4 linked regions of the Macaca mulatta genome follow. The protein of the gene in region 3 interacts with the protein of the main gene of each other region in a biochemical or structural test. Links are inferred from orthologs where the notes say so. Each region holds a gene or a part of one and is shown on either strand. Other genes may lie near its edges. The genes, in order: LRRK2, ICAM3, MSN and SPN.

The links.
Region 1: of the proteins of MSN (region 3) and LRRK2, one has a biochemical effect on the other in vitro, tested with the Homo sapiens proteins (9 studies listed by IntAct). The link is inferred for Macaca mulatta from reciprocal best matches to the Homo sapiens genes MSN and LRRK2.
Region 2: the proteins of MSN (region 3) and ICAM3 form a complex in vitro, tested with the Homo sapiens proteins (2 studies listed by BioGRID). The link is inferred for Macaca mulatta from reciprocal best matches to the Homo sapiens genes MSN and ICAM3.
Region 4: the proteins of MSN (region 3) and SPN form a complex in vitro, tested with the Homo sapiens proteins (2 studies listed by BioGRID). The link is inferred for Macaca mulatta from reciprocal best matches to the Homo sapiens genes MSN and SPN.

Annotation. Positions count from the first base shown.
Region 1 is NC_133416.1:47,245,978-47,251,047, reverse strand, and holds the end of LRRK2 (leucine-rich repeat serine/threonine-protein kinase 2), read right to left. Parts: intron 3,804-5,070; coding exon 3,736-3,803; intron 3,172-3,735; coding exon 3,050-3,171; 3' UTR 1,539-3,049; downstream 1-1,538. UniProt on the Homo sapiens protein: Serine/threonine-protein kinase which phosphorylates a broad range of proteins involved in multiple processes such as neuronal plasticity, innate immunity, autophagy, and vesicle trafficking.
Region 2 is NC_133424.1:11,061,104-11,067,799, forward strand, and holds the start of ICAM3 (intercellular adhesion molecule 3), read right to left. Parts: upstream 4,141-6,696; 5' UTR 4,080-4,140; coding exon 4,004-4,079; exon of another isoform or gene 3,747-4,003; intron 3,416-3,746; exon of another isoform or gene 3,072-3,415; coding exon 2,805-3,071; exon of another isoform or gene 2,605-2,804; intron 1-2,604. UniProt on the Homo sapiens protein: ICAM proteins are ligands for the leukocyte adhesion protein LFA-1 (integrin alpha-L/beta-2). ICAM3 is also a ligand for integrin alpha-D/beta-2. In association with integrin alpha-L/beta-2, contributes to apoptotic neutrophil phagocytosis by macrophages.
Region 3 is NC_133426.1:71,833,629-71,839,548, forward strand, and holds part of MSN (moesin), read left to right. Parts: coding exon 1-62; intron 63-765; coding exon 766-912; intron 913-2,116; coding exon 2,117-2,213; intron 2,214-4,305; coding exon 4,306-4,469; intron 4,470-5,829; coding exon 5,830-5,920. UniProt on the Homo sapiens protein: Ezrin-radixin-moesin (ERM) family protein that connects the actin cytoskeleton to the plasma membrane and thereby regulates the structure and function of specific domains of the cell cortex.
Region 4 is NC_133425.1:28,909,360-28,915,805, forward strand, and holds SPN (leukosialin), read right to left. Parts: upstream 3,607-6,446; 5' UTR 3,537-3,606; intron 3,159-3,536; 5' UTR 3,131-3,158; coding exon 1,805-3,130; 3' UTR 1,205-1,804; downstream 1-1,204. UniProt on the Homo sapiens protein: Predominant cell surface sialoprotein of leukocytes which regulates multiple T-cell functions, including T-cell activation, proliferation, differentiation, trafficking and migration.

The sequences.
Region 1 (5,070 bases), on a different chromosome or scaffold from region 3:
GGAATGGGAACTTGTCACAAATTTCAGCATGTATTTGATAGGGATGCTTTCAAAATAAGCTCAAGTTCCAAAGACAGCACATGTGTCATCATCTGCCTAGAATGTTATTTCACTCTGGAAATTGTTGAATGCCCATTTGTCCTAAGTCTCTGTTTAAATATTTGTACTTTTTTTGTGATCAGGATCCTCTATTCTCTGGCCAGGTAGACATATGCTCTATTTTTCCATAAATACTTCCAATAGAGTATGTATCGGAGTTTGGTATTTTCATAAATAAATGGTAACAACCTTCTCTTGGGAGTGTTCAGTGGGTAAATGTGGCGAAGCCCAGGTCAGAATGATACCTCTTGTTTACTCTATAACATCCAGTTTTGTAGGCCCTGATTGCTGTGAAACAGTGGATTCTCATAGAGGCCAAGAAGCAGCCCCATGATCCAGATGCTAATACTCATTCCCTTTCTCTTCTCTTTTTCTTAGCCTGAGACAGACATCAAGTAGAGACTTCCCAGGTAAGGGTAGAAATCAAGAGCAGTGTGGCGGCAGCACATAGAGAGAACCACCACATCTCTGCTCACTCACTCAGAGTGTGTTCAGACAGCAGGCCTTTGGGTCAGGTGACTGTCTCTTGCTTGAAATCAGGGTGATAGGATCACTCCAAATTCCTTGACAAATTAGAAAGAACCAAGTACCTAGGTGCCTTTAAGCAGCCAGATTCTGAATTGTTATTAGAAACAATGATACCCTGGATCAGCAACTGGCTAGCATGGAGAACGAGGATGTCAGTTTCTCCCGAGTTGACATAGTTTACTATTTTACTGAATTGCTGATGAGCCTCCATGAAAAACATTCAATTTACCAGGTTAGGTGTTAAGCTACTCAAAGTGATGGATAAAGCAGCAAAGTCCCAACGGTTTTGAATTTTATCTCCCCTCAATATTAGAACATTTGCATCCTTACATTTAACTTAGGAAAGTTCACAATCTTCTTTTGTTAATTCTGCTATGTTTCATCAATATATTTCACTGCCTTGATGAAAAATAAGTTGCATTTTAGTTAAAATAGTTCACACATAATCGATAGAGTGAATTAGAGTCAGAGAGGCGCCCTTTTTTGAATTCAAAATTTTCCCAAAAGAATATTTTCTGTTATGATAATGTTTGTATTTTGATCATAATTAGCAGGTTATTTTAGGCTTCTAATCAGAAAACACTTGAAGTGACTGTGCCTATTTTTTGTATATATCATTTGCTCTAAAGTCTTATATTTTGTTTCAGTACTCAAGAGCAAACAAATTTACTCACAAAACATTTTTAAGAGAACTTGAAAATAGAATGTTTCATACCCATCAGATTTTGTCCTGGGATCCTGGCAACCATACGTATTATAGAAAAGTAAATTTAAATATTCTGTAAGTTCTCAAGAAAAAACTTTAGTTGCACTTTCTTATCGTGGAATGTTCCATATACAAATTAATATACAAAGTTTCCTTTGAGGTGGATAACAGACCTGTATGTGAAAAGCAAAACACTATCACAAAGTTTAAAAATTCATAAACATGCTTTTAAAAATTTTATTATTCCATGTAAATACAGTATTCTATTTTTGTGTTTGTCTTTGGTAAAAAAATTTGCAAATACATACAAAGTGACAATGAAAGAGATAACACTGGAACAAAGAGCTCTACTGTATTTTTTTTTGTTGTCGTTAATTACGTAGCAAGTTAAAATACAGAAAATCTTTCATGTTTAAGAATTTGATCACCCTGAATATAAATAAATTTAAAGTTTTCATATAGTCAAATGCCATAAGTTCTGAGAATATTAAATAGACTAGTTGTCCTATCACAGGGAATTGTCTGAAATAATGAATACTGGTCAGGGCCAAAGAATTTACCAAAAGTACTTTTCCTAAAGCAGAAATGACCTCAAATTATTACATAGGTATTTGGCCCTGATACTCCTACTGTGGTAAGCTATGTAAACAATTTAAGTATAATTTGGAAGCCTAGGGTGGCAGATATTTTTATCCATCATAACTAAAGCTCTTTTCTCCTTCAGCAACTGAAAAGTGTTAGATATTTGTCCTCATGGTCTTGGTAGGAGCTGTGGAATTCTATAATTCTGAAAAAAAAAAGTTTCTATCTGAATGATGTAGGATCTGCAGCATCACAAATTTAGGGAAAAGATGAATATAAGCATTAGGATGAAGCAGATTAGAAAACAAGTAGCTAATGGTATGAATAAAAAAATAAAAATATCACTTGAAGGACTGAACACTGTATTTACACTAATTATACAAAATTCAGGGTATCCATACTCAAAGATAGAGTTGAAAAGATAGAGACAACTCTATCATGTCTAGGAAAGACACAGAAAGACACAGAAACTCTCCTCATATCCTAGATATGAGGACTTTGACAGTATGTCATGTTTTTTCATTAGTACTTTTAATGGAGTTTTCTTTTGGATTGAGTGAAGTTGTGTAACATGCACTGTCTGCAACAGCAACAAAGAGAATTCACATACCAACAAAGGAATTTATTAGTGCAAATTCATTTGAATATTTGCAAGCATATATGATAGTGCATTTCAAAGCAATCTAAGAGGGAATACATTACACGGGAAACTGTCTTAATATTTTCATTCTACCTTGCAGATTTCTAGAAAAATCAACAAGCAATAGTCTTGTCTTAAGCATAGAATTTAAAATAAAGTTTATCTTCATTACAGACAAGAAAACAAAAAATTATCGGCCTTATAAATTTTAGTATGAGTACTTAAATTAGGTATTTCACAGATTTATTTTCATTAATTAATGCACAAAAGTAACTGGTATTCATAAGAAATACAACATTGTGTTTTAAATAGTTCTTTAAAATATATGTTTACTGGTAAGTATTTTTACATATATTTAAATTAAAAATATAACATTCCTTCATATACACATGAGCTATTTCAAAAAATGTGAGTACCCTTTTCATGTGAACATTTTTAAATAAATATTTACAAGAGAATAATTTTCCTATCCAAAGACAATTCCTGTTTCTCTCTTATTCAATAGATGTTCCTCTCATTTTTTCAGCTAATTCTTTTCTCACTTCAATGTGTTTTTCTAAATTTTGCACTTCATGTGGAAGATTGATGTCCCAAACAGTCAAGCAAGATTGTATCTCTAGAAAAAGAAAAAGATGAAATCAAGTTTCAAAGATCCACCATAAAACATTCTTATTTTATTTCAGTTTGGCTTATGTATTTTTAGTTGACTTAGATAAATGTATATATAAACACAGCTATAACTAATGCACTAAATAATTATTTATAAAAAACTGTACTTGGACAATTTTTATAATACATTATAGAAACTACTAAATTTCAAGAAGAGTGTGGACATTTAATAAATTAACATTTCATAATCTAAAAGAAATAAAGCTTTTCAAACACTGTTGAAAATTAAACATTATGTAGATACAGGTAAGTTGTAAAAAATATTCACATTTAGTTTAAGGTTGAGCTAGTGATTGACACCTCTACTTCATCTGAAAATATAAATATTTAACACTTCATATCACTTGTAATTTTGAAAGTTTATGCCTAAGTTCTTTATACTATAAACTACCAATTAAAATTCCTGATTATACCATATGTAATATTTTCTACAAATTTATAAAACACATAATATGTTACTATCATTCATGTCATTGCACTGTTTGGAATACAGTATCCTTTTAAATGTTACCTTTCTGCTGTTGTGTACCTTCAGTACTTTTCCGGTTATAGCCCAATACCAGCATGACATTTTTAAGGCTCCCTTTACAAAAACAAAATATGGAAGTTTTCCGTTAAAACTATATATTAAGCTGGTCTGAAAAAAATTAAAGTTGTTCATAGTCTAAGACACAAATACCTTGGAACTGAATTCACAGTTCTATTTTCTAGGTGACCCTTAAATTATATTGAATAAAGGCCAGCATTAAAAAAAAGTAACAGAATCTGTGATCCACTCCTTGCTGCAACTCTTAATTATGTGAGAGAAAACAGCTTAACCTTTCTATAAAATAGGCTTAGTATTTATACATTACCCTCCCCAAAGTTACAATGTTAAATGAGGTAATGTGTGTGAAAAGTTCTTTGGATATGGTAAGGTACAAATATGAGTATTTAGATGGACACTTAGATGGATGGATATACTGATGTCAAAATATCATATTTTCTTCTCAAATCATTCACTAATTTATTCAACAAATTTGCATCAAAAGTCTTCTATGTAAGTCCTAGGCTAGATCCTGGGAATAAAGGGGTAAACCAAAACACACTAACCCAACCTGCTTGGTGTTTATATTCTAGTGAAGAGACTAGTATTAATGAAAAAAAATATATATGACTATGATCACAACTATGCAAGAAAGCTGTTATGGGAACCCAAAGTGGGAACTTTGACCTAATCAGTGTTTGCTTCTCAGAGGTTTTGACACAGGAGCTAACATTTCAAAGCGTATGAGTTAACTAAGCATAACAAAATTACTTTAAGCAAAGAAATAAACAGCATGTGCAAATCCCTGAGGCAAAATATAGCACAGTAATTAAGAAGAACTGGATGTTCATCTAGACGAGGAAGATCTGGTAGGAATGTGGTAGATGATGGAGGCAGGAGAGGTACAGTGAAGCCAGCTCACGCAGCACCTTGTAGGCTATGTTCAAATTGATCTTTATTTTAAAATCAAACTGTAACCCATTGAAATTCCACTATAACTTCAGTTATAAGCAAGCTATCCGGGTCCCAAAGTACATACAATTCAACTAGAGAATGCAACAACTTTGGTAGAATAAGACTACGGAGACAACCCATTGAGATACCTACTGTTCTGCTTGTGTGGACATGTATCTTAATAGTTCACAGTCATTAAGAGCATCTAATTCTAACTCCTTCTGTGCAACTCTAACGTCTATAAATGAAAAATAGGTGAAGGTGCTAGAGAAACACATGTTCCTCTTTCACACATACTTGTAATGAATCTATTTTCTTCACCACGTTCAAAACATTCATTAATTATTTGCTAAAGTTACATAAATT
Region 2 (6,696 bases), on a different chromosome or scaffold from region 3:
GGTCAGGAGTTTGAGACCAACCTGGCCAACTTGGCAAAACCCTGTCTCTACTAAAAATCAATACAAAAATTAGCCAGGCGTGGTGGCACATGCCTGTGATCCCAATTACTAAGGAGGCTAAGACAGGAGAATCACTTGAACCCAGGAGGCAGAGTTTGCAGTGAGCTGACATCGCGCCATTGCACTCCAGCCTGGGGGACAAGAGCAAGACTCCGTCTCAAAGGATAAAAAAAATAAAATCAAAAAGTAGGCCAGGCATGGTGGCTCACGCTTGTAATCCCAGCACTTTGGGAGGCCAAGGCACTTGAGGCCAGGAGTTTGAGACCAGCCTGGGCAACATGGTGAAATCCCGTCTCTACTAAAAATAAAAAAATTAGCTGGGCGTGGTGGTGCACACCCGTAGTCCCAGCTACTCAGCAGGCTGAGGCAGGAAAATCTCTTGAACTTGGGAGGTGGAGGTTGCAGTGAGCTGAGATCGTGCCACTGCACTCCAGCCTGGGCAACAGAGTGAGACTCCATCTCCAAAAAAAAAAAAAAAAGAAGAAGAAGAAAAGGCCAGGCATGGTGGCTCACGCCTGTAATCCCAGCACTTTGGGAGGTCGAGGCAGGTGGATCATGAGGTCAGAAGTTCGAGACCAGCTTGACCAACATGTTGAAACCTTGTCTCTACTAAAAATACAAAAATGAGCCGGGCATGTTGGCATGTGCCTATAATCGCAGCTACTCAGGAGGCTGAGGCAGGAGAATCGCTTGAACCCGGGAGGCAGAGGTTGCAGTGAGCCACGATTGCACCACTGCACTCCAGCCTAGGGGACAGAGCAAGACTCCGTCTCAAAAAAAAAAAAAGAAAAAGAAAAAAAAAAAGTAGCCAGGTACAGTGGCTCAGGCCTGCAATCCCAGCTACTGGAGAGCTGAAGAGGATTGCATGAGCCCAGGAGTTTGAGACCAACCTGGGCAATATAGGGAGAGCCTGTCTCTAAAATAAAAGTATAAAAAAGTGTAAATATAAAACCTCTATTCACCTACTGCTGACTGAAAGGGGTACCCCCTTTTTTTTGCTTAAGAGACAGGGTCTTACTTTTTCGCGCAGGCTGGAGTGCAGTGGTGCAATTATAGCTCACTATAGCCTTGAACTCCTGGGCTCAAGCAACTCTCCCACCTCGGCCCCCCAAGTAGCTGAGACTTCGGGCATGTACCACCATGCCCAGCTAATTTTTTTTTTTTTTTTTTTTGAGACGGAGTCTCACTCTGTCGCCCAGGCTGGAGTGCAGTGGCGCAATCTCCACTCACTGCAAGCTCCATCGCCTCCCGGGTTAATGCCATTTTCCTGCCTCAGCCTCCCTAGAAGCTGGGACTACAGGTGCCCACCACCACACCCGGCTACTTTTTTTGTATTTTCAATAGAGATGGGGTTTCACGGTGTTTGCCAGGATGGTCTCGATCTTCTGACCTCGTGGTCCGCCCACCTCGGCCTCCCAAAGTGCTGGGATTACAGGTGTGAGCCACCACGCCCGGCCCCAGCTAATATTTTTTATTTATTTTTGTAGAGACAAGGTGTCCCTATGTTGCTCAGCCTGGTCTTAAATTTCTGGGCTCAAGCAATCTTCCTGCCTTGGCCTCCCAAAGTGTTGAAATTATTGTTGGGGTCAGGCAAGGTGGCTCACACCTGTAATCCCAGCATTTCGAGAGGCCAAGGTGGACAGATCACAAGGTCAGGAGTTAAAGACCAGCCTGGCTAACATGGTGAAACCCCATCTCTACAAAAAATACAAAAATTAGCTGGGCATGCTGGCGCATGCCTATAATCCCAGCTACTTGGGAGGCTGAGGCAGGAGAATGCTTGAACTGGGACCTGGGAGGCAGAGGTCGTGGTGAGCCAAGATGGCACCGCTGCACTCCAGTCTGGGCTACAGAGCAACAGACTTCATCTCAAAAAAAAAAAAAAAAACTTGTTGGGGCAGGGTGCAGTGGCTCATGCCTGTAATCCCAGCACTTCGGGAGACCAAAGCAGGCGGATTACCTGAGGTGAGGAGTTCAAGACCAGACTGGCCAACATGATGAAATGCCATCTCAGGCGGGCGCAGTGGCTCAAGCCTGTAATCCCCGCACTTTGGGAGGCCAAGATGGGCGGATCACGAGGTCAGGAGATCGAGACCATCCTGGCTAACACGTTGAAACCCCGTCTCTACTAAAAAAAATACAAAAAAACTAGCCGGGCGAGGTGGCGGGCGCCTGTAGTCCCAGCTACTCGGGAGGCTGAGGCAGGAGAATGGCATAAGCCCGGGAGGCGGAGCTTGCAGTGAGCTGAGATCCGGCCACTGCACTCCAGCCTGGGCTGGACAGAGCCAGACTCCGTCTCAAAAAAAAAAGAAAAAGAAATGCCATCTCTACTAAAAATACAAAATTACCCGGGTGTGGTGGCGTGCATGTGTAATCCCAGCCACTCGGGAGGCCGAGGCAGGAGAATCACTTGAACCCAGGAGGCGAAGGTTGCAGTGAGCCGAGATTGCGCCACTGCACTCCAGCCTGGGCAAAAAGAGCGAAACTCTGTCTCAAAAAAAAAAAAAAAAAAAAAATGTTGGTTGGGGCCCAAGTTAATTGATTTCACAACTGCTGCCTTGGCATGAGATTGAGATGTGTCTCTATGTCTTTGTATCTCACACACACAAATGTCCAGGTCTGAGCTCTGGGTCAGAATCCTGGTCCATTCTTTGCAAACTGAGGGTCTCCATTCTCCTGAGCCATCGGCCATCTGCCCACACCACTACCCAACACCAGTCCCACCTCCGGACACATCGACTCACTGTACACGGTGATGTCAGAGAAGCCTGTTATCTGGGAGCCATTGCAGTACCCTGAACAGAGGATCCGACTGTTGCCAGTCACGTTGCTGAGCTGGAAGGCTGCCCAGCCTGTGCCATTGTCCACCAGCTCCTTTGATAGGGACGTCTCCAAGATGATTTTCTTAGAGCTGGGGCAATCAGTACTGCAGTTCACCAACAGGGACCCTCCAGCAGGAAACACAGGGTTCTGGGGCTCCACCCGCAGCAGGAACTCCTGCCCCTGGGCACCTTCAGGAACATGAAGAAATCCTGGTGTTTGTTTTGTTGCCCCCCAACCCGCGTATCAGCAGGCCCCACCATTTAACACCTCTTTCCTTGTGCCGAGATAGAAGGGTTCCCACCCTCATGGTCCAGTGGGAAAGGCAGAATCCATCAGGGACCAGGGAGAACTCAGAAGGAGGCCAGAAGAGGCTCTGATCCAGCATAGGAGGAGGTGAGTCAGGGAAGGCTTCCTGGAGGAGGAGACCATGCCAGCCTGAAACTGAAAGCTAAGTAAGAGTTAGCAAGTGAAAGGGACAGGTGATCCTGGCAGAGGGAACCACATACGCAAAGGGCAAATTTCAGGAGTTCAGGCCGGGCGCGGTGGCTCAAGCCTGTAATCCCAGCACTTTGGGAGGCCGAGACGGGCGGATCATGAGGTCAGGAGATCGAGACCATCCTGGCTAACACAGTGAAACCCCGTCTCTACTAAAATACAAAAAAAAACTAGCCGGGCGAGGTGGCGGGCGCCTGTAGTCCCAGCTACTCGGGAGGCTGAGGCAGGAGAATGGCGTGAACCCGGGAGGCGGAGCTTGCAGTGAGCTGAGATCCGGCCACTGCACTCCAGCCTGGGCGACAGAGCGAGACTCCGTCTCAAAAAAAAAAAAAAAAAAAAAAAAAAAAAAAAAAATTTCAGGAGTTCAGATGGAGCAGGAAGCGTGAGGGGTGTGTGTGTGTGTGTGTGTGTGTGTTGGGGAAGAGGGATGGCGTAGAAGCCGTATGCTGGGGCCTGACCACCTGAAGGCAGAACTAAGGAACCAGAACTTTCTCCCGAGGATACGGGGTCAGCAGCCAGGTCGCAGTGTGGCAGGATGCAAAGAGTGTTGCATTCTCTTCCTCCACCTTCTACTGAGCCCCAAAACCCAGCCCTCTCCAGCCCTCCTGGGCTTGACCAGCCTCACCTGGGGTCAGCAGACAGCAGACCAGCAGAGTCCAGCAGGCCCCGGGCCACGATACGGATGGTACTATGGTGGCCATTCTGACAGAAGAAGGTGCCTTCCTGAGGTGCCCCAAGGGCAGGCAGGGGGAAAGGCGGGGCCTCCCACTGAGACGGAAGCATAGCGGTTAAGATTGCAGAAGTCTGGGGACTGCACCTTACCCAGGCCTGTGGGGAGAAGGGGATGCTGTGGCCCTGGGGGGCTAGAATGGGGGACCCAGACGGGGCTCTGCAAAGTGGCCAGCACTGCTGAGTCTCCCCCAGGGACAGGGCTGGTCTCAGTTGCACTGCTGGCCCCCAGTTCCTAGCCAGGAAATGCTAACTGAACTGGCTTCCTTTGTTCTCAGCACTGGGAAGCCTGGGTGTGGGGGTATGAGGCATCTCCTTCCGGCTGAACTTAGGTGGGGAGGGGAATATTCTGTTCCCAGAGAGGAAGTTAATGGGGGAAACCTGTAGGCACCACTGTTTAGATGCTAAGGTGGGATTTCAAGGAAACATAAAACAAACAAACAAACAAACAAAAAAACCAGAAGCAGAGTCTTGCTATGTTGCCCCGACTGGTCTTGAGCTCCTGGCCTTGAGATGGCCTCCTCCCATCCTGACCTCCCAAAGTGTTGCGGTTACAGGCGTGAGCCACAACGCCTGGCCACCTTTGAAGATCTTGAGGACATCTCCCTATCTTTGAAGATTTTGGGGATCCCCCCTCCCATGCACGAAGAGCTAAGGTAGGTGATTTGGGGACAGCTGAGTCCCTGAGCCACTGTCTTTCCAGGATTCGATTTGGCTTTTGTTTTGTTTTGAGACAGGGTCTCACTCTGTTGCCCAGGCTGGAGTGCAGTAGTGGGATCTCGGCTCACTGCAGCCTCTGCCTCCCTGGTTCAAACAATTCTCCTGCCTCAGCCTCCCGAGTAGCTGGGATTACAGGCATGTGCCATCATGCCCGGCTAATTTTTGTACTTTTTGGTAAGAGATGGGGTTTCACCATGTTGGCCAAGCTGGTCTCAAACTTCTGACCTCAAGTGAGTCGCCTGCCTTGGCCTCCCAAAGTGCTGGGATTACAGGCATAAGCCACCTCGCCCAACCTTCCAGGATTCTACTTGTAACTGGCCTTTACCTCATCCTGTTGCCCCCTTGCCCACCTTTCCAGGCAGCTGGTCACTTCATTCCAAGGGAAGGCACCAAGGGGACCAGGGGGGACTCCCACCTTTGACCTGCTGCTGACCTCAGGCCTCTGACCTGTCTTCTGGGCCTAACATCTGAGCACCAGAGAGGGACCTTGTTGAGGGCCTTGATGGAGCCCTGCGTTCACCCACTTTTCCCAGAGCTTGAGGTCACAGCACCTCCTCTCTCATCTGGAGCACCCCCACCTTCCTAATCAGGTCCCTCCTCTATTCCTCTGCCTTCCGAACAATTCATTTCCCACCTAGTGTTGAGAGAGCAGCTAAAACCCAAGTCTAGTGTATTTGTAAATAGCAGGGCCCAGTAGCATGGACCTGGTGCCTGTAGTCCCAGCTCCTTGGAAGGCTGAGGAGAGGATCGCTTGAGCCTGGGAGATCAAAGCTGCAGTGAGCTGAGATTGTGCCCCTGCACTCCAGCCTAGGCGACACAGTGAGACCCTGTTTCCAAAAAAAATAATAATAAAATAAAATAAAAAAGATGCCAGACTTAGTGGCTCAAGTCTGTAATCCCAGCAGAACTTTGGGAGGCTGAGGTGGGCAGATCAAGAGGTCAGGAAATCGAGACCGTCCTGGCTAACACAGTGAAACCCCGTTTCCACCAAAAATATAAAAAATTAGCTGGACGTTGTGGCGGGCGCCTGTAGTCCCAGCAACTCGGGAGGCTGAAGCAGAAGAATCACTTGAACCCGGGAGGCAGAGGTTGTAGTGAGCGGAGATTGTGCCGCTGCACTACAGCCTGGGTGACAGAGCAAGACTCCGTCTCAAAAATACATACATACATATATATATATATATATATATATATATATATATATATAAAATATATATTATATATTATAGATATGATTTATAATAATTATGTAATAGTGAGACCCCGTTTCTAAAAATAAAAAAGAAAGAAATATTTGTAAATAAGTAATATTTCTTTTTTGTTTTTTGAAACAGAGTCTCACTGTGTCACCCAGGCTGGAGTGCAGGGGCGCAATCTCAGCTAACTGTAATCTCAGCCTCCTGAGTTCAAGCGATCCTCCCACCTCAGCCTCCCTAGGATCTGGGACCACAGGTGCACACCACCATGCCTGGCTAATTTTTTGTAGAGACGGCTTTCATCATATTGCCCAGGTTGGTCTTGAACTCCTAAGCTTAGGGGATCTGCCTGCCTTGACCTCCCAAAGTGCTGGGATTATCAGTGTACCCTTCTACACCCTCCAGTAATATTTCTGATGATGAAGTATTTCTGGGCCAGGAGTGGTGTCTCACACCTGTAATCCTAGCACTTTGGGAGGTCAAGATGGGTGGATCCCTTGAGGTCGGGAGTTCCAGACCAGCCTGGGCAGCATGCCAAAACCCTGTCTCTACTAAAAATACAAAAAATCAGCCAAGCTTGATGGCACACACCTGTAGTCCCAGCTACTCAGGAGGCTGCAGCAGGAGGATTGCTTGAGTCGGGGAAGTGGAGGTTGCAGTTAGCTGAGATTGT
Region 3 (5,920 bases):
AACAAGGACCAGTGGGAGGAGCGGATCCAGGTGTGGCATGAGGAACACCGTGGCATGCTCAGGTAAGCTTGCCCAAGCAGTGGTGGGCCCCACTTCCCTTATAGGGTGAATGAGAATGCGTTCTGGGGAGAAGAGACAGATGACAAGGGACATTGGTAGATGTTGGAGAAGAGGGAACAGGGATGATAGAAGGCAAACTAGGACCATTATAAGGTTGTTTTTTGTTTGTTTGTTTTGCTGAATGGTGGTAACTGATAGCACAAACAGTTTTGACTATCAAGAAATGGAGGGGACCTCAGGATGTCCAGGGAGCTACTGGGCCACCAAGGACTCCCCGCCCCCTGCCAGAAGGAAATAAGGAAGGAGCTCTTAAACATGGCAAAGCATTTTTGAGGGTTGTCTAGTTGAAGGACAAATATCATCATTTTGCCATAACCACATTCTGAGCCCTGCTAAGAATGTGTAAGAGGCTGTCACAATGAATGAGAGAAAGAAAATTGCTTCTGTGGCAGCCAACATGCCAGAGGCCAGCAAGGGTCAACCCATCTTTATTCCCTTTGGGAGCATAGACCCTAGGTTTTTGTTAGGAGATTTTGCTTTGCAAAAGTCATGCTATGCTCTGTTCTCCATCATCTGGTTGCCTTTTGTGCCCTTTCCCACTCCTGATAGCAAGATACTTGTCAGAAGTACAGAGTAAGCAGGCTTTCTCTCTCCTTGGGTCTGACTCACAAGCCCCACTTTGTGACCCCCAACTGTGTCATTTAGGGAGGATGCTGTCCTGGAATATCTGAAGATTGCTCAAGATCTGGAGATGTATGGTGTGAACTACTTCAGCATCAAGAACAAGAAAGGCTCAGAGCTGTGGCTGGGGGTGGATGCACTGGGTCTCAACATCTATGAGCAGAATGACAGGTATATCTCAGATCTCTTTTAGTTTATTTAGGTTATGTTAACATCTAGGGCTCACTTTTCACCAAGGAGCAAGGCCATAGCTCTTGGGTCCCACCTCAGTTCTTTTTCTGCCTAATTTAGTCCAGCCCAGATGATTTCACAACTTTCCTTAGGCCTCTAAATTCTGTATTGACTAGACTCACACTGTCAACTGTGGTAGCCACCAGCCACATGGGGCTATTGAACACTTGAAATGTGGCTACTTTGAATTGAGATGTGCTGTAAGTGTAAACTACACACTGGACTTTGAAGATTAGTGTGAAAAACAGAATGCAAAAATGTCTTAATATTTTTAAAAATATTTATTTACATGTTCAAATGATAATATTTTAGATATATTGGGCTAATTAAACTTATTAAAATTTTATTACATCCATTTCTTTTTACTTATTTTCATGTAGCTACTAGAAAACTTAAAATTATATATGTGACAGTCATTATGTTTTTATTGATTTGTGCAGGCCTAGACTGTCTTATCGGGATATATTTTGATTAGTCTCCTGTGATAATTAAATGGCTTTTGGCCTATAATCCTCTCACTGTAGCCTTATCTCACTTGCTTATATTTTTCACTTGGTGTGCTCTTGGTGAGAATGGAGATCAATAGATTATTGTTCCATATAACTGCTGAATCTTGGAGTTCATTATTTACGTTTTCTCTAACTTTTGTAAGCTTGGATAGAAGAAACTCAGTTAAATAGGGCTGGGGATTCCCTTGAGGAATTGTTACAAGTTCCATGCCTCAAACAAAAACATAACAAAACAAACTCGAGACAAGGAATCATATGTTAGTTGTAGTATCAGGAGATCCTTTAGTGAACTCAATGCTGGCAACTGACCTGGTGGCATGTGATGACACTGGCTGAGCTGGCACCGAGTCTACCTCCTCCAGAGAGAAGTGTTTGTTTGGCCAAGCTTGGTGGCTCATGCCTGTAATCCCAGCACTTTGGGAGGCTGAGGAGGGAGGATCGCTCGAGCCCAAGAGTTCAAGACCAGACTGGGTAACATAGTGAGACCTCGTCTCTATTTATTTAAAAAAAAAAAAAAAGAGAGAGAGAGAGAGAGAGACATAGAAGCTTGGGGGTGATGTGAGGGCAAGCCACCAGTTCTCTACGCCCTTCTTGTCTTGCCCTTGTCCTGATATTATTGGTTTCCATTTCTACAGACTAACTCCCAAGATAGGCTTCCCCTGGAGTGAAATCAGGAACATCTCTTTCAATGATAAGAAATTTGTCATCAAGCCCATTGACAAAAAAGCCCCGGTGAGTGATTCCTCCCTCTGACCAAGACGGGTACTTGCCAAGGCCTTCTATAATGAGCAATCATGCTATTCTATTTTTCTCTTCCTTTGCTGGTTTGTGTGTGTGTGTATGTGTGCGTGTGTGTGTGCGCGTGCATGTGTGTGCACACATGCACGAACAGGAAGCACAGATAGAGATTGGGAATGGAGGGAGATGTTGATGCCAAAAATGGCCAGCAGACATCCTGTACCTGATTCTACTCTGCTACCTGTCTCCCTCACTGTGGATGAGGGAGAGCCACAGGCAGTGTTAAGTACTGCTTCTTAGCCGTTGTCTCTGCCGCCCTGAGATTCTGGGGTGGAAACCAAATGCATCTCGTATTTCCAAGCCCCTGGGGTCCCGAAAAGTGGACACTGTTCACATATTTGATTCCTTTCTTTTCTTTTCTTTTCTTTTTTCTTTTCTCTTCTCTTCTCTTCTCTTTTCTTTTCCCCTCCCCTCCCCTCCTCTCCCTCCCTTCCCCTTCCCTTCCCTTCCTTCCTTTTTTGACAGAGTCTCGCTCTGTCGCCCAGGCTGGAGTGCAGTGGCACAATCTTGGCTTACTACAACCTCAGCCTCCCGAGTAGCTGGGATTACAGGTGCATGGCACCGTGCCCGGCTAATTTTTGTAGTTTTAGTAGAGACAAGGCTTCGCCATGTTGGCCAGGCTGGTCTTGAACTCCTGACCTCAGGTGATTTGCCTGCCTTGGCCTCCCAAAGTGCTGGGATTACAGGTGTGAGTCACCATGCCCAGCCCTTGATTTCTTTTTTTTATTATGGAGAAATGGCTGTGACCAGAGAAGTACAAATCCCAAGATGATCCTACAAACTTCTTGGTAGAACTTGACTGCTGCCCTCTCAGACTTTTCTCCAGAGCATTCCAAGACCAAAAAAGTGCTTTAACTTCACTCATTTCTCTAACACACTCGCCACACTTCTTACCCACTCAGTAGCCTGCAGCTAACAAGACCAGACAGCTGGTGATTGTGGTAGGGTAGGAAACTGAGCTGAGTATCTCCTTTTCTGGGATACCTCATGTTCAACAAGGCCCAGTGACAATACTGCGCCTGACCCTTTTCATGAAGGCTCAACCATTCTTCTCCAGCCCTGAGGTGTCTGAACTTTCCCTGCTAGGGACTTTACACGTTGTCTCCTTAAACCCTCAGCAACATGGTCAGGTAGGTAGTAAGTAGCATACTAATTTTATGGTTGACAAAACTGAGGTTAGAGAGATGGAGTGATTTGTTCAAGATAACACAGCTAAAAATGGTAGAACTGGGATTTGTACCTAGGTGATTTGACTTTGAGAGCCTGTGCTCCCTCCACTGCACCCCAAGCTATATGAGACAGTAGCAGTGTGTGGTCAGTGGCAGAGGAGATGGCGGTTAGCCCGTCAGCTGGTGACTTTGGTCCAGTGGTATTTGTAGTAGCAAACTCAAACTCACTGGATTTTCTTGTGTGTTTTCTTTTATTGCTACTGTGCTCAACTTTTATCAGAAAAAGTTGAGTAACAAAGCCAGCTGAGATCAAGGGCTCATTTTAAAAACAACAACCAGGACAAGCAGTGATCAGGAGATTTATGTATTTATATATGTATTTACAGCCTGCCTTGTTCCAAAAAGGATTTAAGGGGCTGGCTCTAGGATTTGCTTTCAGGAGATTGTAGAAACAGTCCAGTCACCCATACTGCACCCACCAGCGTATTGTCAGGGGTCATTTGGCTTCCAAAAGAGGTCACCTGAGACCTAGCATGTTCCCTAATTAGCAGAGAAAGTTTGAATCCTTCAACTTGATTAAGAGTAATTTAGGATGCTTTCATAAGCAAAGATTGAAAGAAATTGTGGGAAGAACACGGGTTTCAGAGTCAAGAAACCTAGGTTTCTAGTCTTTGGTCTGCCTGCTGTCTGACCCTGGGTAAGTCACTTTACCACTCTGATAATTGGTCTTCCCATCTGTAGTGCAGGAGGTTAGATTAAACATTCTTTTCAGTGCTTTTGGATTTAGCTTTTCAGAAGGCAGAAGATCACCTTCACCTGGCCCTCCGAATTCTTTCTGATTGCTGATTTCCCACCAGGACTTCGTCTTCTATGCTCCCCGGCTGCGGATTAACAAGCGTATCTTGGCCTTGTGCATGGGGAACCATGAACTATACATGCGCCGTCGCAAGCCTGACACCATTGAGGTGCAGCAGATGAAAGCACAGGCCCGGGAGGAGAAGCACCAGAAGCAGATGGAGCGGTAGGTGCTGCACACTGATGTGGGGGGCCAGGGCTGGGGCAAGGAAGCTTCTCAAAGGTACCCAGCCTGCTAAGTCAGGACATGAGGCCAACCTAGGACTTCATAGATAAGAGGTTAGACACCAATGTTCACATTTATTCAGAAAACATTTACCAAGTTTGAGGGGCAGTTTTTACAGAGCTGGATCTAGCAGGAACCTGCCCTGTAGGACCTCACAGTCTACTCAGTCTAGTAGCAGAGAGAGGGAAAACAATATATACATAACTCAAGGTACAAACGCCATGCCATTCATTCACTTAATAAATATTTATTGAGCAATGAATAAGAAAAGACCAAAAATCTCTGCTTTTGTGAAGCTAGCATTCTAGTGGGGAGGAGACAAACATAATAAATAAGCAAATTATGTGGTACATAAGATGGTTAAGAATTGCTATGGAGAAAAAAACATAGAAGAGGGGTGGGGAGAAGGGTAAGCCAAGTATTCTGAGGGCTCAGATGGAGAATACCTAGCCAAGGGAGATAAGAAGGTTCCTGGAAGAGGTGCTAGGGCAAGAAAAAGCAAATACCTATTCCAGATTTGTAACAAACTCTGGGAAAAAGAAGCCTAGAGCTGGGCTTTAGGGCAGACAGATTTGGACCTGAGGACTGATGCACTAGCCATAGAGATTACTGGACTTGAAGCACTTCATCCCAGCAGAGAGCCAAAACTTGTCTCCCTACAAGGTATATAGGGCAGGTCTTATTGGACCATTTTCAAGATAGGGGAACAAGAGCAAAGCAGTGACATAGCTAAGGTCACCCAGTGGGTTGGTGGGAGAGCTAGGATTCCTGACTCAGGGGCACATTGACAGGGCCCCGTGTACACTGGCCTATGTGGGGCTGTGATATGAGGACAAAGGTATAGAGGTAAGGGAGGGTGGCCCAAACTCACAATCCCTGAGTGTGTTGAGAAGGTTGGGTTGAGAGACCCAGAGGCAGCAAGCCTTGCAATTCCCCAGGCTTTTTTTTTTTTTTTTTTTGAAAATGGAGTCTTGTTCTGTTGTCCACGCTGGAGTGCAGTGGTGCAATCTCAGCTCACTGCAACCTCCGCCTCCCAGGTTCAAGCGATTCTCCTGCCTCAGCCTCCCGAATAGCTAGGGCTACGGCCGCATGCCACTACGCCCAGCTAATTTTTTGTATTTTTAGTAAAGACAGGGTTTCATCGTGTTTGCCAGGATGGTCTCGATTTCCTGACCTCATGATCTGCCCGCCTCGGCCTCCCAAAGTGCTGGGATTATAGGCGTGAGCCACCATGCCTGGCCTCCCCAGGCTTTTATGGAGCTTTACTATCCTGTTCTATCCATTTTATCTCCTTCCCTAGTGCTATGCTGGAAAATGAGAAGAAGAAGCGTGAAATGGCAGAAAAAGAGAAAGAGAAGATTGAACGGGAGAAGGAGGAGCTGATGGAGAGG
Region 4 (6,446 bases), on a different chromosome or scaffold from region 3:
TTCCTCTTGGAGGATAGAAGGGGCTCAGCCCCTGGGATGGAAGAGGAGAGATAGACAAACTAAACCTGAAAATGTGCAGGGGGGAAGCGCCAGCAAGGCCAGTCCCCACGACCAGGGCAGACCCCTCGCCCCCTGCCTCTGTTCGCGCGTGCACGTGTATGTGTGTAGGTGTGTGGGGGTGTGTGTGTGTGTGTGACAGAGAGAGAGAGAGTGAGCACCTGCATGTGTACTGTAGAAAGGGAGAGTTCAAGGAAGGGATTACCGTGGTTGAGCTGAAGAACTCACATTTGGGTCACACATACAATCTTTCTAGGAAGCCTGGCTTCCTTTTTGTTTTCTTTTTTGAGACAGGGTCTCGCTCTGTTGCCCAGGCTGGAGTGCAGTGGTGCAATCACAGCTCACTTCAGACTCGAACTCCTGGGCTCAAGCGATCCTCCTGACTCAGCTTTCCAAAGTGCTGGGATTAAAAGCACCAGCCACTGTGGTCACCCTGGCGTGCTGTATGGGGCTATAGACAGAGTTAGATTTTCTGCTTTGTCTACCCCATCAGAGCAAAGATGACACACATGTTCTCAGCAGTCCTTGTGCCCCCATGCTCAGGTTGACCCGTTTCAGTCTCTGCACCACTTCCCACTCCCACACTGTCTGTACCCGCCACTACCCCTCCCAAGCATCGCCAAATCCTCAGCTCTTGCACACAAACCACACCCATGAGTGGACGCACGCAGGCACTGGGGTTTCTGAGAACTACACACCCAGACAGAAACTCAGAGGAGAAACCGCGAAGCCTCTGGCTGCCTCTGTCCCTGGGTGGGGAGAGTGTGGTGGCATGGGCCAGGGCCAGCCTCGAGTCCAGGTGCCCTGGGAAAGATCACAGGCCTGCCTGAGAGCATGGGCCAGTGGCCCCACCCAGCCATGCTCCTGGCTGGCCTGGGGGACCCAGAGCTAAAGGTGGTTGCGGGCTGCCCAGGTTCCACAGCCCTTGCAGCTACGGGGCAAGGGTGCTTTACAAAGTTAATCCTAGGAGGGAGTTTGCCATGTTCTCTTGTCCTTCTTCTTCCCAGACTCTGGTCAACCCAGAGTGGGGTGTGGGGGAAAAGGAGAATTCTCAAAGAAATCACAGGTCAGATAAATTTGGCTGATGGAGACTCAGCAGCCGTTTCCAAGAACAAGAAAGAGGGGGAAATCCTGATGGAGATAAATAGGGGTGGATGAAGAGGGTTTATTAATTCAGTCCACAGACGTTGAGAGGTGCCGGCCTTGCCCTGCCCAGGTGCTGGTTGCAGGTGCTGGGTGAGGATGCCAGCAGGAAATCCAGGGCTGAGAGGCCTGATGAGGATTCAGAGTGAAGAGGCGGGTGAGGAGGTAAGGCACGGTGGCTCACGTCTGTAATCCCAGCACTTTGGGAGGCCGAGGCAGGTGGATCACCTGAGGTCAGGAGTTTGAGACCATCCTGGCCAACATGGTGAAACCCCGTCTCTACCAAAAATACAAAAAAGCAGCTGGGCGTGGTGGTGGGCGCCTGTAATCTCAGTTACTCGGGAGGCTGAGGCAGGAGAATCTCTTGAACTTAGGAGGCAGATGTTGCAGTGAGCTGAGATCATGCCATGGCACTCCAGCCTGGGCAACAAAGTGAAACTCTGCCTCAAAAAAAAAAAAAAAAAAAAGAGAGAGAGAGAGAGATTCAGGTGAGGATCAGGATGCCAGGTGGAAATGTGGGAGTGAGGGGGCAGTGTGATGGTGAGAGGGAAGGTGCTGGAGGCTGGCTGAGATTCCGGCCTCCAGCCTTACTATTCGCCAGCACTTAAGGGGCAGCCCTGTCTCCCGCTTCAGGCTCATCAGGAGCGGGGGCATCCAGAGCCCCATCCTCGCTGGCCACCAGCGGCTCCTCCTCCCCTTTGAGGTTGGAGCCTGACCCAGACTTCAGCTCCTCCATTGCCAGGGAGCCCTGGCGAGACTTCCGTCTGCCAAAGAAAGTGGTGAGCGTGGGCCGCCGGCCAGACCCCTCCCCGTCAGGGACCCCAGAGCCCTTGTCGCCCCCGGACCCTCCCACGGTCACTGTCACGGCCCCCTCCTCAGGGACCTGGGCTGGCCCAGCCCAGGCGTCCACCACCCCGTTACGCTTGCCGCCTCTGCTCAACACCAGGGCCCCTGTCCGCCGTTTCTGCCGCCGGCGCCACAGCAGGAGCAGAGCCACGAGGACTATGACCACCAGCAGGGCCACAAGCACGGCCACTGGCAGCATGCCTCCTGAGTTCTCATCTGGGTTCCGAAAGGGCACAGTGCTTGCATTGGTGGAGGTCGTTGGAGTCATCATCGTGGATAGTTTTACACTAGAGACCTGGGGTCCACTGGCCCCACTGGAGGGCTCCAGAGAGCCAGTTGTCATGGTAACAGAGGGTCCAGTGTTCACATTGGAGGGCTCCAGAGAGCCAGTTGTCATGGTAACAGGGGGTCCAGTGGTCCCAGTGGAGGTCTCCAGAGAGCCAGCTGCTATGGTAACAGGGGGTCCAGTGGTCCCAGTGGAGGTCTCCAGAGAGCCAGCTGCTATGGTAACAGGGGGTCCAGAGGTGCCATTGGAGGTCTCCAGAGAGATAGTTGCCATGGTAAGAGGGGGTCCAGAGGTGCCTTTGGAGGTCTCCTGAGAGCTAGCTGCCACGGTAACAGGGGCTCCACTGGTCCTACTGGAGGTTTCTGGAGAGTTCGTTGTCATGGTTCCACCTGTCATGGTGTGGGATCCTAGAGAGTTTGCTGTTATGGGAACAGCAGGATGACTGGTTGCATGAGGGTTTTCCTGGGGCATTGATGACATCTCGAAGGAAACATTCTGTAAGGTTGTTGGCTCAGGTAAGGGGGAACCAGTGCTGGCACCAAGGGAAGTCCCAAGAGGGGATCCCTCATTGACAGAAGTTGAGGGAGGTAGGGCTGAGGTCTGGTCCCCAGTGCCGTCGGCCTTAGGGTCACTTGTTATTGAAGCGGTGTACATCTCTGAGTCGATGCTCAGGTATTTGCTAGTAGAGACCAAAGGACCAGAAGTCTCTCCGGGCACGGGTGTCTGCACAGCTGTCGTGTCCCCCAGAGCCTCTGGACTTACCACAAGCACCCCAAGGAGGAGGAGAAGCACGGCCATTTCCAGGCAAACAGGCAGGAGCTGGGACCTGCAGGTGGGCAGCCGGAGAAGCAGAACACGCGGGAGTTGCCGGAGGATCTGGCCGGGCCTCCCCTCTGCCCACTTCCCTACCAACGGCCAGGCCCAACCTGCGGTTTAACGGTTTTTTCCATCCTGGCTTTTACTGTTATCAGAAATGACAGAGGAACAGATGCTGGCAGCTCCCCCATCAGCCCCATCCCAAGGCTCCCTCCAGCCTCGGCAGCTCAGATTCCAGCAGTGGCCACCCTCTCCTGGCCTTCCCTGACCCTGTGCAGCCCAGTGGCTCCAAATCTCTTCCCATCATCACCTGTCAGAGTCTTTTCAAGCCACAGGCACATTTCCAGGCCCACTGAGGCCCCTACCCCACCAAGTCTCACCCTCTTACCGGCTCAGCTGATAAGGACGCAGCGCTGGGGCCAGGTCACTCCACCACCTCCCGAGGCTGGGGCAAGACTGGGGAGGACAGGGCCCCAAGGGGAAAGGAAGTGGGCCCTGGCTCCACCCACCCCACCCACCCCTCCATCCTGCCCCACCCGCCCTGCTCCCACAGCTGCTGGGCGAAGACAGCACCATGACCTGCTCCTTCAGGGGCCAGTGGGGTGTCTGGGGGTCTGGGGCTCACCTGAGGCAGGCAGGGAAGTGCGGGATCTGGAATCTGGATTACTGGCTCTTGGCTGAGGAATGGGATGGAAGGGGTGATGCTAGGGATGGCTGGACTCAGAGGTGGGTGGTGGGAATATGAGCCTGAGAACTCAAGGGTGTAGAGGAGGAGGTGGGAGGGGAGGGTGGTTTCCTTTGCATTTGTGGTCCCCAAGCTGTTAGGCCAGGAGCTGAGTGGTGCCATTTCCTGCTCTCAGAGCTCCCAGGAAGTAGCAGGGCAAGAGGAAGCCCCCGAGTCTGGCTGGGGGCCGTGAAAACCTTTGCAAGCTGGTGAGCTCTTGACTCCCTCACGGGGAGCTGGGGGTCACCCCAGTGGCCCCTAGTCAGGGAGGCTTGGCTAAACCAAGGTGGTTCCTACACACTGCATATGCTCGGATCTTATTTCAGCAAACTAGTAAAGATATGGGAATCTTTTTATTTTTTATTTTATTTTATTTTATTTATTTATTTATTTTGAAGTGGAGTTTAGTGCAATGGCATGATCTTGGCTCACCGCAACCTCTGCCTCCCAGGTTCAAGCAATTCTCCTGCCTCAGCCTCCCGAGTAGCTGGGATTACAGGCATGCGCCACTGTGCCCAGCTAATTTTGTATTTTTAGTAGAGACGGGGTTTCTCCATGTTGGTCAGGCTGGTCTGGAACTCCTGACCTCAGGTGATCCACCCACCTCAGCCTCCCAAAGCGCTGGGATTACAGGCGTGAGCCACCGCGCCCGGCCAGATGTGGGACTCTATATGGAAAAGTGTCTGGAAAGATATCCACTAAGGGATTCACCTAATTGTCTTTGGATAGGTGAGAGTAGGAGGCCGAGGCATTTTCTTCTTTGAATGGTTCCCATTTCCTGACTTTCCTCTAATTAGCAAGCTTTGACTCTTGGTTTGTGTATGTCTTTGGTTTTTGTTCTTTAAAAACGAAAATCAGTCCCGGGCGTGGTGATACATTATGCCTGTAGTCCCACCGAGGCGGAAGGATCCCCTAAGCCCAGGAGTTTGAAACCAGCCTGGGCACCACAGCAGAAACCCTGTCACTAAAAATAAAATGCATAAGTTTTTAAAATCAAAACTGATTTGTATATTTTAAGAGCAACATGTGCACAATAGAAGATTCTAACAGGTCCTTGGGACTGTGCCCTTTCCACAAGCTGATGAGTTTGTCTGACCCAAAGACATGAGACTCCAGGGTGAGAGCCGCAGGAATTAATTGCTCACACCAAGCAACAGCAGCGTGATGTTTGCGTCAGTTCCCCTTACCCCAAGTCCCACAGAGGCAACATGGAAGGACCCAAACTGACACCGCGCACATAGTGGGCCTATATCGCAGCCACAGAGCTCTGAGCTTGAGAGATTCCCCTCCTCTAGGGCCCCTGGTAAGCCCAGTGTCCCACAGGGAGACACGTCTTCATCCCTCAGGGGTGCTCACTGCAAACACAGCACTGGGAAATGGCTTGAGTCCAAAGTGTTCAGAGGCTAGGTGAGGTGGCTCACGCCTGTAATCCCAGGACTTTGGGAGGCTGAGGCAGGCTGATCACTTGAGGTCAGGAGTTCGAGACCAGCCTGGCCAACATGCTGTCTTTTCTGCACACAGTGGCTCGGAATGGTAACGGGGTGCCCATTCTGCAGAGGGGATGAGGGACGCAGGAGCAAAGGAGGGTAGGTTAGAGGGCTGCATCATCAGGCCCAACGGACTTCCTGTCCTACCACCACCATCTTCCAGCTGCATGACCTTGAACAAGTCACACAACTTCTCCAATGCCCTAGGACCACCACCTTCTTCATCAAGTGACTGCAAGGATTAAATGAGATAATGTCAAGTGCACAGAAAAGCGGTTACCAGCACAGGACTCTGGGTTCCTGTCCTACCTCTTACACTTGGGCAAAGGACTTAACCTCCTTATCCCTCTGTTGCTTTGTATAAAATGGGGATAATTATGGTAATACCACATAGTTTGTTCTGATGATTAAGAGTTAATACATATAAACGACTGGGCACGGTGGCCCATGCCTGTAAGCCCAGCACTTTGGGAGGCTGAGGCAGGTGGATCACCTGAGGTCAGGAGTTCGAGACCGGCTTGGTCAACATGGTGAAACCCCGTCTCTACTAAAAATACAAAAATTAGCTGGGCATGGTGGCGGGCACCTATAATCCCGGCTACTCGGGAGGCTGAGGCAGGAGAATCGTTTCAACCCAGGAGGCAGAGGTTGCAGTGAGCAGAGACTATGCCACTGCACTCCAGCCTGAGCAACAGAGTGAGACTCCATCTCAAAAAACAAACCAAAAAAAAAAAAAGTGCTCAGGACCTGGCATTCTTGATATACCCAATATATCACACAAAAAGACTCCACACCCATCACCTCCAGACAAACATTCCTAACAGTGTCTGTGTCTACACAAGCATGTATTCATCCATTTTAGTGTTTTGCACTTTTCACATTCCCCATAATAAAAAAGTTTAAAACAGGCCGTGTGTGGTGGCTCATGCTGGTATTCTCTCTTTTTTTTTTTTTAGAGATGGCTTCTTGCTGTGTTGCCCAGACTGGTCTTGAACTCCTGGGCTCAAGCAATCCTCTCATCTTGGCCTCCAGAAGTCCTGGGATTACAGGCATGAGCCATTGTGCCTGGCTTCTGTAGTATTCCCAG